2 linked regions of the Elephas maximus indicus genome follow. The protein of the gene in region 1 purifies or fractionates together with the protein of each later gene. This does not show direct contact. Links are inferred from orthologs where the notes say so. Each region holds a gene or a part of one and is shown in the gene's direction. Other genes may lie near its edges.

Region 1 (7,713 bases):
TTCTGGTTTCCCTGGCCTGTTGATCCCACAAGGGCCTTGAGCCCTGGCGCGTGCCAGCGTGACAGAGAACAGAAAAATGAGTCCCTGCCCTGGGGGAGCTGGTGGCTTGGGGCGGGGGGAGCTGGACAGATTAACTCGTACATTCATTCAGCAAGCATTTATTAAGCACCTACTACAGCAAGTACCGGGGCAGTGGTTCCTCAGTGGTAGAGTTCTTGCCTGCCATGACAGAGACCTGGGCTCCATTCCTGGCCAAAGTACCTCACGTAGAACCAATACCCATCCGTCAGTGGAGGCTTCTGCATTGCTCCGACGCTGAACAGGATTCAGCATTGCTTCCTAAGATAGACTAGGAAGAAAGGCCTGGGAATCTACTTAGGAAAACCCTATGAATCACAATAGTCTGAATGACCATCACTCATGGGGGTGGTGCAGGACTGGGCAGCTTTTCGTTCCACTGTGCGTGGGGTCGCCATGAGAATGGGGGCCGACTTAACAGCAGCTGAGAACAGCAGTACCTTTTAAAAAACGTTCTCTGACAGCTATAAAGAATGGGCTGTACGGAACAAGAGTGGAAGCCAGAGATTGGATAGAAGACTCTAAGGTAAAAAATGCTGGTGGCCTGGGCTGGGAGTGTGGGGGTGAGGGTAGCAGTGCAGAGGAAAAGAAGCCCACAGACTAGGGATGCCTTTCGGAGCTGGACTCTGCAGACTTGTTGACAGGTTGCACATCATGGGGAGAGTTGGTAGGAAAAGGGCAGAGTCAAGCCTGCTGTGCAGGTTTGGGGCTTCAGCAGCTAAGTATGTGCCATCAGCCAAGATGGTAAAGAGCAGCAGAGCTGGCGATGGCATCGCAGTGTGATTGTGTCTACAACTGCTGTATTCTGAGCAGGGCAGAGGGTGGTGTCAGATGGTTCACAGAGGGGCAGCATTTACAGCTAAGTGCTCAAGAGTGGGAAGAGCAGAGGAGGAAGTGGTTTAAAGCAGTTGGGGCTCCATGGTTAAGGGAAGGATCCCAGGCATCAGGTGAACCTGAATTTGCATCCTGGCTCCTCTTCGTTCATCATAACTGTGGACAAGTCATTTGCCCTGTGTGGGCCTCATTTTTCTCATCTGTAAAATGGGATGAAAGATGCATACCGCCATCTGCCATGTATCTGTTAAATGAGAAAACATAAATTAAGTGTGTGGCAGGGTGCACCATATAAACTTAGCTCCCGTTGAACAAACACTCGTGGTATTGCTATAATTGCCCGGGTCACAGCTTAAACAGCAAGTCAAACTCCATGGCTCTGGAAATGTCTTTGGCTAAAAGGGTTGGGGGTGGTGTATTAGTTATCAGGAGCCCTGGTGGTGCAGTGGTTAAGCACTCAGCTGCTAACCTAAAGGTTGGCGGTTCAAACCCATCAGCCACTTTGTGGGAGAAAGATGTGGCAGTCTGCTTCTGCAAAGTGTACAGCCTTGGAAACCCCATGGGGCAGTTTTACTCTGCCCTGTAGGATTGCTATGAGTTAGAATTGACTTGACAGCAACCGTGGGTATATTAGTTTTCTATTATTGCACAACAAATTACCCTGCAACTTAACAGTTAAAACACATGGGAGCTCTTAGAATAGTGCCGCTTTGATGGACACGGAACCAAAATTACTGGTGGTAGTTCAGAATCACCCCACCCAATTTGTGGTCAGCATACAGTGGCAGCCACCTGTGGGTGGTCCAGGAGAGCCTGTTTAAGAAAAGAGTGGGGCGGAGGTTTCTTGTGCCTTAAACTCTGCTCAGCCAAACCCCAAACAGCATTTTCTCAAACAGTGGTTCCCGGATTGTCTGCAACCAAGTCATCTGGGAGCTTGTGGGAAAAAACGCAGACTCCTGTGTCCTGCCACAGGCTTTCAGAATCTGAATCAGGTGGGGGCAGAGCCTTGAAACCTGAATTTTTAAAATGAACTTTGAATTTTAGAACCGTTTAGATTTATAGAAAAAATTGCAAAGATCATACAGAAAGTTCTCATATACCCAACACCCATTTCCCTATTATTAACATCTTACGTGGTTATGGTACACTTGTTACAATCAATGAACCAATATTGATACATTATTATTAACTAAAGTCCATACTTTGTCCAACACCCATGGAAGCAGCAGTCAGGAAATCAAAGGATATATTGCATTGGGCACATCTGCAGAAGACCTCTTTAAAGTGTTAAGATGCAGAGATGTCACCTGTGAGGATTAAGGTGCACCTGACTCAAGCTGTGGTATTTTCAATAGCCTCATACGCCTGTGAAAGCTGGATGATGAATAAGGAAGGCTGAAAAAAATTGATGCATTTGAATTATGGTGTTGGTGAAGAATGTTGAATATGCTGTCAACTGCCAGAGGAATGAACTAAATCTGTACATCCAGAATGTTCCTTAGAAGTGAGGATGGCAAGACTTTGTCTCATGTACTTTGGACATGTTATCAGGAGGGACTACTCCTTGGAGAAGGACATCATGTTTGGTAAAGTAGAGGGTCAGCAAAAAAGAGGAAGCCCCTCAATGAGAAGAACTGACACAGTGGCAGCAACAGTGGGCTCAAAGGTAGCAACGATTGCGAGGATGGCGCAGGACTGGGCAATGTTTTGTTCTGTTGTACATCGGGTCACAATGAGTTGGAACTGACTTGATGGCACTTAACAGAGTACTTTATTCAGATGTCCTTAGCTTAATGTCCTTTTTGACCAGCCCTGGTGGCCCAGTGGTTAAGTGTTCAGCTGCTAACCTAAAGGTTGTTGGTTCAAACCCACCAGCCGCTCTGCGGGAAAAAGATGTGGCAGTTTACTTCCATAAATACTATAGACTTGGAAACCCTATGGGGCAGTTCTGCTCTGCCATATAGGGTCACCATGAGTGGGAATCGTCTCAACGGCAGTGGCTTTGAGTGTCCTTTTTCTGTTCCAAGATTCCATCCAGCGCATCCCATCACATTTAGTTGTCATGTCTCCTTAAGCTCTTCTTGGGTGTGACAGTTTCTCAGACTTCCTTGTTTTCAGAGATTGACAGTTTTGGGGAGTACTAGTCAGGTATTTTCTAGAAATTGGGATTTGTCTCATGTTTTTCTCCTGATTAGACATGGGGTTATGGGTTTTAGGGAAGAAGACGAGAGGGAAAGTGCCATTTTCATTACATCATATCAAGGGTATATGCTGTCAACATAACTTATCACTGTTGATGTTGACCTTGATCACCTGGCTGAGGCAGTGTTTCTGCACTATAAAGTTACTCTTTTTTTTTTTTCCCTATCCTTTCCATACCGTACACTTTGGAAGGAAGTTATTATATGCAGCCCACACTTAAGGAATGAGGAGTTATGCTCCACCTCCGTGAGGGTGGGGTATCTACATAAATTATTTGGAATTCTTCTGCCTAGGAAATTTGTCTGTTTTCCCCCATTTATTTATTCGATCATTTAAAAATCTGTATCAGTCTCCCTGGATGATGCTGATGGTTAACGCACTCCGCTGCTAGCCAGAAGGTTAGAGGTTCCGGCTCACCCAGAGGCACTTCAAAAGAAAAGCCTGGCAGTCTTCTTCCGGAAACTCTGCCACTGAAAACTGTGGAGCACAATTCTACTCTAACACAATGGGGTCACCAACAGTTGGGGTCGCCAGGAGTCTGTCAACTGAATGGCTACTGATGGTGGTGGTGAACTTGTGATGATTTTATACTTGGAGTTATAATCCAATACTACTTGTTACTCAAATTGCTCCAGCTGTGGCCACTGGGAGCCCTGCTCCAGTGCCCCTTTGACCTCCCCCCAGCACTGTGCGTGTGTTTTGTTTTCGTTTTAGCACTGCCTTACACTCTGGCACTACAAGATGCTCTGGGCCCATCTGCATAATGCTCTGCCCCTCGTTCCCTTATTGCAGTACGGTGGTAGAAACCAAGATCTAGGGCGTAGTGTGCGTGAACCTAAAACTTACCGTGGTAAAATACGTTAACACAAAGTTTGCTATTTTTAGCCATTTTAAGTGTAGAATTCAGTTATATAACTACATTCACAATGTTATATAACTATCACCACTGTATCCACAACTTTCATTATCCCAAACCGTACCCACTCAGCCCTCCCCCCAGCCTCTGGCAATCACTGGTGTCTGTACATTTGCCTGTTGTACACACTTCACATAACTGTTCAACTTCTTAAGCAAGTAGAGTTAGAGAACCTCTGTTCTCAAAGTTCTGTTTCCGGTCTTTGGAGTACTTTCCTAGCCTCCCCCCGCCCACCAGTTTCAGCGGTCGTCGGCAGAGGGCGCATGAAAAGGCAGAATGTTTTCTTTTTTACCACACACGCCCTTCCAATTGGAAGAGAACCGCGGGAGATAAGCACATATGCGGCGGTACTAAGCTCTGCGCCAGTCGACTGTCACGTGAGGGTCGGCCGTCAGCTGACCAGTGCTCAAGGTCCATAAGGAGGGGCGGGCCCTAGCGAGGGCAGCTGATAATTGGTGGAGTAAGAACCAGGAAGGTGGCGCCCTGGGGGCGGATCTTCACGGCGAGGATTTGGATTGGCTTAGGCCGAGTCACGTGGGCAGTGAGACTGCCGTAAGCTGCTGTGCGTACGCGTCTAAGTCTTGCAGATGCAGATTGGAGTTTGCGGCTCATTGGTCGGTACGCGGAGGCTGGCGGGGGCGTGGCCGGTGGGGCGCGCACCTTGTCACGAGGCTGTTGGTTGGTCGGCGTAAGTCACATGGTGCTGGGCGGCCGGCGGCGCGCGCCGGTGCGACGTCAACGCAGCTCGCTAAGCTCCCCGGACCTGTCTTCTGCGGCCGGGCCAGGGCAGAGTCTTCCCAGGGCCCGGTTCGGACAGTTTGCTGAGTCCCTTTGCGTCCGCCATGGACAACTCCGGGAAGGAAGCGGAGGCGATAGCGCTACTGGCCGAAGCGGAGCGCAAGGTGAAGAACTCGCAGTCCTTCTTTTCTGGCCTCTTTGGGTAAGAACCGGGCCGCGGGCCGGCGGAACCTAGGCTGAGTGACGGGCCGAAGGAGTTACGGCCTGAAGCGGCGGGGCAGGCACAAAGGGTTCGGCCCAAGAGGACGGAGGGGGTTCCGGGATGAGGAGACATGATCCAAGGCAGCGGGGGGACACAGGCTTGAGGGCCAAGGGGCCCAGACCTTGGCGACAGGGCGTGAGCAGAGACAGTGGGACGGCGGAGGGGACCTGGGCTGAGAAGACACTAGCCGAGGCGACACCATCTTGAGGCGGCTAGGGGAACTTACATCCAAGACGGGCCAAGGGGCTGGAGGAGAACATGGGCCGAGGCCTTGAAAGGGGCTTGGCCTGAGAGGTTGCGGCAGCTAGGTTAAGGAGTCTTTCGGAGCTCTAGGAGAACCTATTTCAAGGATCCTTGATGAGGCCTGGGGCTGAAGCCACTTGCCCGAGGTGTTGACATTTCCGAGGCCCGCGAAAGTGGATTTGTGTGGACCCTGGGTGAAGGGTGAGGACCGAGGAATCAGACACCAGGCCGAGGGTATCAGGGCTCCGGGGATCCTGAGAGTGGTGAGCCCAAGTCAAGGTGTGCAAAGTGCCTGGGGTGGTGACCAGTCTTAAGAGTATCTTAGCCTGGAGTGGAACCCAAGTGGAGGAGTCCCTGGGGATGATGTAGGAGGCCTGAGCTCAGAAGCTGGAGAGGAATGTGTGGTGAGGGAATGGGTGATGCCGGCTTGGCTGAGATTGAGGGATCAAAGGGAGACATGAGGAAACTGAAGAACCGAAGGGAGGTGTGTTAAGGCTGCTTTGTGATCATTGAGTAAGGATGGGGAGGTCTGGGGACAGTGGCGGGTGCGGGGTGTGAAGAGGACCTGAAAGGGGCCTGTGAGGCAGAACTGACACCTGTGACATGATGGATATTTCACGTAAAATTTATTAAGTCTTGAAAGTAGTCCTGACGACATCCTTTGAGAAATCTTGGTGGTTTTCGGGTGTCATAAAGGCCAGGTTTGAAGTTTGATTCTACCCCTTACTTTGGGATGCTGAGTAAGTAAAGTTGTTGAACTTCCCTTTTAAAGGGGATCACTCATAAAGCCCACCTCAGAGGTTTGCTGTGAGCGTGTGTAAGTGCAAGCCTGGAATGCAGTTAAAGCTTGGAAAGTGTTGGTTGTTGTTAATGTTGCTACATGTGAGGAGACAGGCTTGGAGCCTGTAGGGGGGCTGGTGGGGTTAAGGCCTGAGCCTGAAGGGAGAGGTCTGGGAGGAGTGAGGAGGGATCTGAGGGGGAAAAAGCCTAAGTGTGATAAAGAGGAGGAGAGAAGGAGGGGGGAAATGGCTCCGGGCCAGGGGGTCTGCAGGGTTAGAGGGCTCTGGGCAGAAGAAGTAGGGATCCCTGGAGGACTAGAGGAGGGGGTGCTGAGGGAGGGACTGGAAAGGGTGAAGGGGAAGCTGTCAGGACTGTGAGGAAGACTAGGAGAGGAAGTGCTTGGCTGCTAACTGCAGGGTTGGCGGTTCAAACCCACCCAGCAGCTCCGTGGCAGAAAGGCCTGACAGTCACCTCCCTTAAAGATTACTGCCAAGGAAACCCTGTGGGGCAGTTCTGATCTGTCACTTGGAGTCACAATGAGTTGAAATCAACTTGAGGGCATCTAATAACAACAGAGAGTTAGGAAGGAGTCCCCAGGTGGCTCAAATGGTTAAATGGTTTACTAGCTAAAAGGTTGGCAGTTTGAACCCACCCAGAGGCACCTCAGTAGTCAAGCCTGGCGATCTGCTTCTGAAAGGTCGGAGCCTTGAAAACCCGATGGAATAGTTCTGCTCTGCACGCGTGGGATCAGCATGAGTGGGAATGGACTCCATGACAGCCAACAACAAAGAGGAAGAACTGCAGGTCGGGGTGGGCATGGACTCAGAGAACTCAAGAGAGGCAGGGACCAGGGAGGGCTGTAAGGCTGGAGAACCCCCAGAAGGCTAGGAAATGGGGTTTAGGAGGAGGACCTGGGGGCTAGAAGAGATTGTGTTAGGAGCCCAGCAGGGGTTAGTAAGAAATAAGAGTAAGTTCTTTTGAGAGAGGAGATGGTGGAAGGAGCCCTCCCTTGTTATTTGAGATTGGAAAATGTGCAGCAAACGGACTGGAGGAAAGTGGTGTGAGGAGACAGCCAGGACTGATGGGTCATATTGATTACGCAAAGAATGTTGTTTTAGAAGCTGAGAGGGGAGAGAGAGTGTTTGTGTTTTTCTTCCTTCACAAGGGGAGAAGTTCAAGTGCAATGTATTGGGGTGGGGCCAAGAGCTCAGTTTCAGGTAGTAGTTTTCCTGGGTGGTTCTGGGTGTCTGGTCCCTTCTGACTAGGAATCGGGGGCTCTTGGGTTGTGCTTGGAGGGAGCAGCTAGGCCAGCGAGATCAGAGCCCTTGAGGCACTTGCAGCCTGCCTGGGTGCCCTTGAGTCTTTTCCAACTCATAGAGCTGCCCATTGGGTTTCCTAGGCTGAAATCTTTACCCAGGTCTTTTCTCCCACAGAGCGGCTGGTAGATTCGAATTTGCCAACCTTTCAGCTAGTAACTTAATTGTTGTGTCACCAGGGCTCTTTAAGGCAAGATGAACACTGGCGAATTGTGATCAAAGTGAACTTGTATGGGGAAACAAGGGGTAGATTATGTTGTTCGGGGAAGTTCTGAGATGAGAGTATGAACTGGAGGAAGGCTATTTGTGAGGAGTGAGCTGGACCTCCTGGAGCCCAAGGATTT
Region 2 (6,883 bases), on another chromosome or scaffold:
AAGTAAGCTTGTACCTCAGTTTTCACAATCCTGCTAAAAAAATGTTCTAGTAGCGCCTGAAGTCCTCTAACTTCAGGAGGAGGAGACAGAATCACCATCAGCCCAAAGCTGATTCCTATGAGGTGGAGGTCAAACATACCCCCCTCTCCAACTTCTTTACCATTTCCGACACCAGCCAACCGCATCCCCTCTTGCCCCCATGGCGCACTCTGCTTCTCTGCGGGGTTCCGTAAGTCATTGGAACAGCCACACAACTCAGGCCATACTTACAGTTAAGTGGTTTACTAAGGAAGTAACAGGATATCAGAATCAACAGGCTGCAACTTAGGATCAGGATCCGGAAGCATGTAAGCAAAGTCTAAAAGACGCCCCTGAGGTGGAAGGCACATCACTCCCTTCTTCAGTGTAAATAGCTCCCGGCGCCTCTTGGCCATGCAAGCAAGCAGGCCCTTCTCTCTGCCATACACGCCCCCTCAGCCATGCACGCCTCTTTGCCTTTGGCCACCCTGCTGTCAGCCTCTCTGCTGCTAACTGATCCAGCTTATAGCCAGTGTAAAAGCTTTGTTCAGCTTAGCTGCATTCCTAGCTGAAGGTTTCTGCTGTCATTTTCAACTCTCCCCCAGGGCCAACCTGGGCCTGTTGCCACTGGCTGTGTCGCAAGACCCCTTCTGGGCTTCTTGATGCCTTCAGTGTTACAGGCCTTCACCTGTGTTACAGCTCTTTTAGGAGGTTCCTCGCCTCCTGTCTGCTGCTTCTCTCTTGCCTGTCTTGTCTTTTCTCCCTTCTGAAACCTCTGTGGGTTTGGCCACTTATATAAGCAAACTCCTTATCAGTTTCAAGGTATGGCCCTCCCGGCAGGGCCACAGACTAACCAATCCCCTTTGTGGACCATAGTCATTTGATTTGCATAGTCTGTAGTCACTTGATTTGCATAGTATATTGATCAGTCCTTACAAGGTGCATACCTATCACAGGATAGGCTACAGCCCAGGACCAGACAAGAAGTATCAAACCAAGCCGTTTACAGTTTACCCAGGAAATGTTAGTCAACATGGACAGAAGTAGCAAACCCTTAGGTAGAAAACCAGGGCAAAGGTAACCCCTCAGGGCTTAGTGGAAAAATCTCAAGCTGTTTTTCCTAAGAACCAAGGCAAAAGGCCACATAAAGGAACTTATTTCACCACACCTGCCCACCTCACAGGTTGGTCTGAGACTGGGTCATAAACAAACAGCACAGGAAGATGTGGAGAAGCCCAAGGAGGGTGTGCGGGCTGAGGGTACTCTTATGATGACTCAGTCTTCCTCCAGGTCCGTGTCTATGATCCAGCCTCCCCCCAGCGCCGGCCAGTCCTTGAGGCCACCTATGGAGAATATCCGCTGACAGCCATGACCCTCACTCCTGAGGGCAAGTAAGTGCCTGGAGGGGTAAAGGTGGGTGGCGGGGGCTCAGGGACGGCTCCGGGAGGTTCCTGCTGACGCACTTGCTTCTGGTCTCTTCAGTTCGGTGATTGTGGGGAACACGCATGGGCAGCTGGCAGAAATTGACCTTCGGCAAGGTAAGTGGACTAGAGGGTGAGGGTGGGGAAGAAGGCAGAATTCCTTCTGAGGCAATGCAATGGAGTGGTTGTTAGCTCTGTTCAGGTGCCACATTGCCTGGGTTCAAATCCTGTTTTCACCAAAAGCTGCTGGCCTTGCCAAATTACTTCAACTCTCTGTGCCTCAGTTTCCTCACGTGTAACATGGAGATATTACTGGTAATTCCTGTCTCTGAGTTACATTGAGGACTAAATGTTGAGATGTAAAGTGATCAGAACAGCAAACAATACGTGGTTGTTGGCTGGCCAGCTAACACTGATACCCCTGCTGTCCCCAGGGCGCCTCCTAGGCTGTCTAAAGGGGCTGGCAGGCAGTGTCCGAGCGTTGCAGTGCCACCCTTCAAAGCCCCTGTTAGCCTCCTGCGGCCTGGATAGAGTCTTGAGGGTGCACAGGATACGGAACCCACGGGGTCTGGAGCATAAGGTGAGAGCCCGAACCTTTGAGCCTTGCCCGTTCTGCCTAGTTCACAGTTCCTGGAGCCCACTGGCACCTGTGCCCCCATTCATTTTTCCATCTACTTCAGCATGCCTGGGCTCCTTAAGTCCCCTCATCTTTTGCAGGTTTATCTCAAGTCTCGGCTGAATTGCCTCCTTCTGTCGGGCAGGGACAACTGGGAGGTGAGCTACTGGATCTGGGAATGTGAGAGCAAAGGGCATGTATGTGAGGATTTCCCTCAGAGAGAAAAAAGTGGCAGCTGGAACCCAGATCTGGAGCTGTCCACTTGCCTGCCAGATTATTTCATTTCTCTGACAGGTTTTAATAGTCAGCCCTGACAAAGTTATTGCCAAGAGTGACATGTCTAAAAGCATGGACCGAATTGGTGTCCCGGGTGCAGAAAATAAAGATGATGGTGGTGGTGGGATTATCTTCCCACTAGGGCTTCCACAGAGGAGCCTTGGTGGCACAGTGATTAAGCACTGCGCTGCTAACCAAAAGTTCAGTGGTTCAAACCCACCAGCCACTCCTCAGGAGAAACGTGTGGCAATCTACTGTAAAGATTACAGCCTTGGAAAGCCTATGGCAGTTCTGCTCTGTCCTCTGGGGTCGGTATGAACTGCAATCAACTGGTTGGAATGGGTTTAGTTTTGGCTTAGGGCCTCCTTGTGGGTCTGTTACTTTGCCCCTGATTCTTCAGCTTTCCTCCCGTTCACCAGGATGAGCCCCAAGAGCCTGAAGAACCCGACAGGGTGTCCCCAGAAGACACAGAGACGGATGAACTTTGGGCTTCCTTGGAGGCGGCTGCAAAGCGGAAGCTCCCTAATTTCAAGCAGAGCCAAGGGGCCCAACAAGCCAGGCAAAGAAAGAAGAGACCTAGATCCACCAGTCCCTGAAAACCCTGTACCCACTTTGTAAATAAACATCCCAGCACCCGCCATGACCTGAGCCTTTTGTGATGGGAGAAAGGGAAGAAGTGGCTTGGGATAGGAGAGCTGGGGCGGCACGATTTCTGACGTCACAAAAGCCGGCGAAGGGCCCGCGGGGCGGGCGGGTGGGCTGGCGGGGCTGGCACGGAGTGCGGGCCGCGGGGGGCCATGGGCTGCTGCCAAGACAAGGACTCCGATGAGGCCACCAGGGAGGCCGACTCCGTGGAAGGTGGGAGCAGAGATGCAGAAGAGGGGGACAGGCACGGGCGCGGGAGAGGAGGCTGCCCCAGCGGTATGGCCAGGGAGGTTGGACAGGGGATGGTAAAGCAAAGCTCAGCGGCCTCGTGGACCCCCTAGGCACCGAAGGGACTGATGCCACGGACGCCCCGAGCCGCCGGAATCGCAAGTCGAGCGAAAGCCTTCTGATCACTGTGCTGTGGCGGCGGCTATCCCTGTTCAGCCGTCGGGGCTCCTCACGGTCGAACAAGAAGCATTCAGGCCAGAGTCAAAAGCCGGGGAGTCAGAAGGCGGAGAACGCCCCGGAGAGGATCCAGGAGGAGTCAGAAAAGGGGTGACCCCAGACCTGCTCTCAGTTCGCCCCAGCCTCCAGAGAATAAAATTTCTAACGCGGACTTGCGCGAGCGCTTACTCTCCACTGCCACTTTCGGAGCACCGGGCGACGGCACCACTGGGGCTGCGGGCTCTTTAAGACTCCTACCCTAAGGTTGGCCTAGCCCCCCGGTGCTCAAGGGCTCCCTCCTCTGGGGCGGGGTCACGGTATCGGCCTAGCCAATGGGACGGTGAGGTCACGCCTACGCTCGGGCAGGGGCGTGTCTGCCGGGTCGCCGGGCTTGGAAAAGCGTGGCGCCGCGCTGTCGTCACCAGGGGCGGGGTTACGTGTGGGTGACGTGGCGGCTTCCAATCTTTGGCCGGGTTTCGGCGGCTTCTGCTCTCGGGGAGGAGGCAGTGACGGCCCAGGAGACTGTGGCATAGGCAGCGGCGGCCGGCGGCAGTGAGGAGGTAGGATTCGCTTTAAGAGGGGGTCCGGTCGCCGTGTCAGCTCCGGGACAGCGGCTCTCTGGGGGCGGCGACGGGGGGGAGGGGAACAGGGGACGAGCCGGCAAGTCTTGCCGGCCCGGGGGGGGGGGCGGTGAGCGAATGCTTGACCGTCCAATCAGGAACGTTCCTGTTGAGAAAGACGTCGATATTAGCTAATCAGTGGTTGCAATCCTCCAGGAGGCGGAACTTGGGCGGGGGGTGGGACTTCCTGTTTCAAATAAACACTTAGAGATTCCCCCCTCCGCCCACCGAAGTGTGTCCCGGTCAGGAAGTCCGTCACCGTTTCCCCCTGAGGAGTTTAAGGAGCCCAGGGGTACGGGACGGCCCAGTTAAGGCCTGGGGCAGCTGCACCTGCCGAGCTGTAGCCTCAGGGCCACGGGACGTGGCTCTGGCCCTGGCTGCGCTCAGGGCCCCAGGCCCGCGCCCTGGCCGACCGAGCCAAGTTGGAAGAAGGGTCTGAGGAGGGGACAACTTGAGCCGGGAAGGAAGCGGGGCCTTCCCTCTGCGGGCCGGCCTTGGGCGCGAAAGTCCGTGCCAGGTGCAGAAAGGGCCGGAGGATTTGCTGGTCGGGGGGAACTTGTGGGGATGGAGGCTGCCTGGGGAATGACACTCTGCCCTCCACAACAGTCCGAGGTTATGCGTCTCAATGATCCCGCGGAAACGCTACGGATCTAAGAACACGGATCAGGGTGTCTACCTGGGTCTCTCAAAGACACAGGTCCTGTCCCCTGCAACTGCTGGCAGTGGCAGCAGCGACATCGCCCCTCTGCCCCCCCCAGTGGCCCTAGTCCCTCCCCCTCCCGACGCCATGTCCTGCCGGGACCGGACCCAAGAGTTCCTGTCTGCTTGCAAGTCCCTGCAGAGCCGTCAGGTAAGGACCTGGAGTGGGAAAGGCGAGAGGTGAGCCGTAGTCGGTGGGGAAGTGGGCTGCAGCACTGTTTGCTGAAGTAGTTCTTGGGGGATCCTTATGGCAGGCTCATGTGTGGGGCTGTGGGATCTACTAAGCAGCAGAGAAGATGCAGGTTAGCTAACTGGAGGCAAGGACCTTGACTTCTGTGAAGAACCCCCTGAGGGTAGGGCTGTTGTTCTGGGAGGAATCCCTCAGGGCCAGAGGTGGCTGCACTGTATTTGATTTGGATAAGTAACAGGCTCTAGCAATACGCTTTAGCTGGGAGGCATGCACCTTGAATTCTGGTTCCCACGTAGTTCTAACAGAAGTTTGTTTTGTGACCGTGAGGAAGTTAATTACTATTTGGACCTCAGTTTTTCTGTCATTAAAATGAGAGAAGTTTTCTAGATCAGTGATTTTTGTCAGAATTGCTTTAGAGTGTCTTTTAAAAGGCAAATTCGTTTGTCTAAGTCCAGATTCCTAAATCCAAGTGGGATCTGGGTAACTATTTTTAAGTATATTTCGTGTTCAGCTCTTGCTAATAGCTGCTCATCCACATGATCTCCAAACCTTCTAGTTATACTTCTCTTTTGATTCTGAGAATAGAATGGCAGTACCAGCTACCAGTTTAGTATTTATAATATGCTCAATATTTGTCTAAAATACTTTACAGCTTTTTTGTCATTTAGTTTCAGTAACAATAATAGGAGATAGGTGAATTGTTTTCCTTTTAGAGTAGAGGAAACAAAGACTCAAAATGGTTTAAGTCTCTCAGCTAATAAGTGAGAGTCAAGCTTTGAACCCAGATCTACTTGTCTTTAATCTGAGCTCTTAAACTACTACTGCTGGTAAATCTAGGCTATCTGATTAAGGAGCTCATCACTAGAAGGAGTTTAGTGGGCATCTGAGGAGCAGTAAAGTCTGGAAATGAGGAAGGGAGAGCTAAAGTTGTCACCTCCTGACATTGCTTTTCAGAATGGAATCCAAACGAACAAGCCAGCTCTGCGTGCTGTCCGGCAGCGCAGTGAATTCACCCTCATGGCCAAGTGAGTCGAGAGAAGCGGTGTGGTGGTACGCTCTTGTGTCTGAGCAGAAGTGGGCTTGCCTTTGATAGGCTTGGCTGTGAGGACTGGGATTGGCTGTGCTGGAGCTGATGCGGGAATAGGCACTCTCCTGCCCTTTCTTACAGTGCTCTCACTAATGCTCATTTGCAGGCGCATTGGGAAAGATCTCAGCAACACATTTGCCAAGCTGGAGAAGCTGACAATCTGTGAGTGTTTTGGGGGACCCTTTTGTGGTGGGGCAATGAACCAAAGACATTGGGGAGCCTTACTCTGAGTCCTGTTTCTGACCTCACCTGTTGTGGGTTCTCACTTGTCCCTGCAGTGGCAAAGCGCAAGTCCCTCTTTGATGATAAAGCAGTGGAAATCGAGGAGCTGACATACATCATCAAACAGGTGAGCTACTAGCCATCGGTCAGATCACTTCCATCATTTTCCATTGCTGTGGAAGCCCAGAGCAAGTTTCTAGAGCCAGCCCCAAGCATCCTACTCATCCATTGAGCCAGTAGATACTTTTGGATAACCTACAAGGTACAAAGGATTATGCTGGGCACTGGTGACAAAAACATGAGACAAGATTCCTTATTCCTTATTCAGGCTTATTGTCTAGAAGAGGTATCCAGCCCCATGAACCCATACTTACAGTGAGTAGGAGTCAAGTGGTACAGAAAAGAGCTTACAAAAAGATCAGTGAGACCCGTTGGGGGTGCTGGGAAGGATTTTATAGCAGAGATGAAATCTGAACTGGTTTCAAGTCTTGTGTAGCAGCAGTGGAAGGACATTCCAGACAGAGAAAACTGTGTATACAGAGGCATGGCTTAAAAAGGGAAAGTTCAGGAATAAGACATGCCTTCCAGTTTTTGCTCAGACGTTATCTGCTCACGAATGCCTGCCCTTATGCTGTTTAATACTCC

Evidence for each region. Proteins that work in one complex are often made in the same cells at the same time.
Region 2: the proteins of NAPA (region 1) and STX5 purify together in Homo sapiens (affinity purification with mass spectrometry; 3 studies listed by BioGRID and IntAct, with this or other methods). This does not show direct contact. The link is inferred for Elephas maximus indicus from reciprocal best matches to the Homo sapiens genes NAPA and STX5.

Annotation. Positions count from the first base shown.
Region 1 is NC_064829.1:101,403,299-101,411,011, forward strand, and holds the start of NAPA (alpha-soluble NSF attachment protein), read left to right. Parts: upstream 1-4,691; 5' UTR 4,692-4,872; coding exon 4,873-4,970; intron 4,971-7,713. UniProt on the Homo sapiens protein: Required for vesicular transport between the endoplasmic reticulum and the Golgi apparatus. Together with GNA12 promotes CDH5 localization to plasma membrane.
Region 2 is NC_064825.1:125,978,727-125,985,609, reverse strand, and holds the start of STX5 (syntaxin-5), read left to right. Parts: upstream 1-3,976; 5' UTR 3,977-3,980; intron 3,981-4,201; exon of another isoform or gene 4,202-4,557; intron 4,558-4,646; 5' UTR 4,647-4,665; coding exon 4,666-4,890; intron 4,891-5,883; coding exon 5,884-5,954; intron 5,955-6,122; coding exon 6,123-6,178; intron 6,179-6,294; coding exon 6,295-6,365; intron 6,366-6,883. Other genes in the region: WDR74 (WD repeat-containing protein 74), read left to right, coding at 1,309-1,409, 1,501-1,556, 1,874-2,019, 2,157-2,213, 2,751-2,927. UniProt on the Homo sapiens protein: Mediates endoplasmic reticulum to Golgi transport.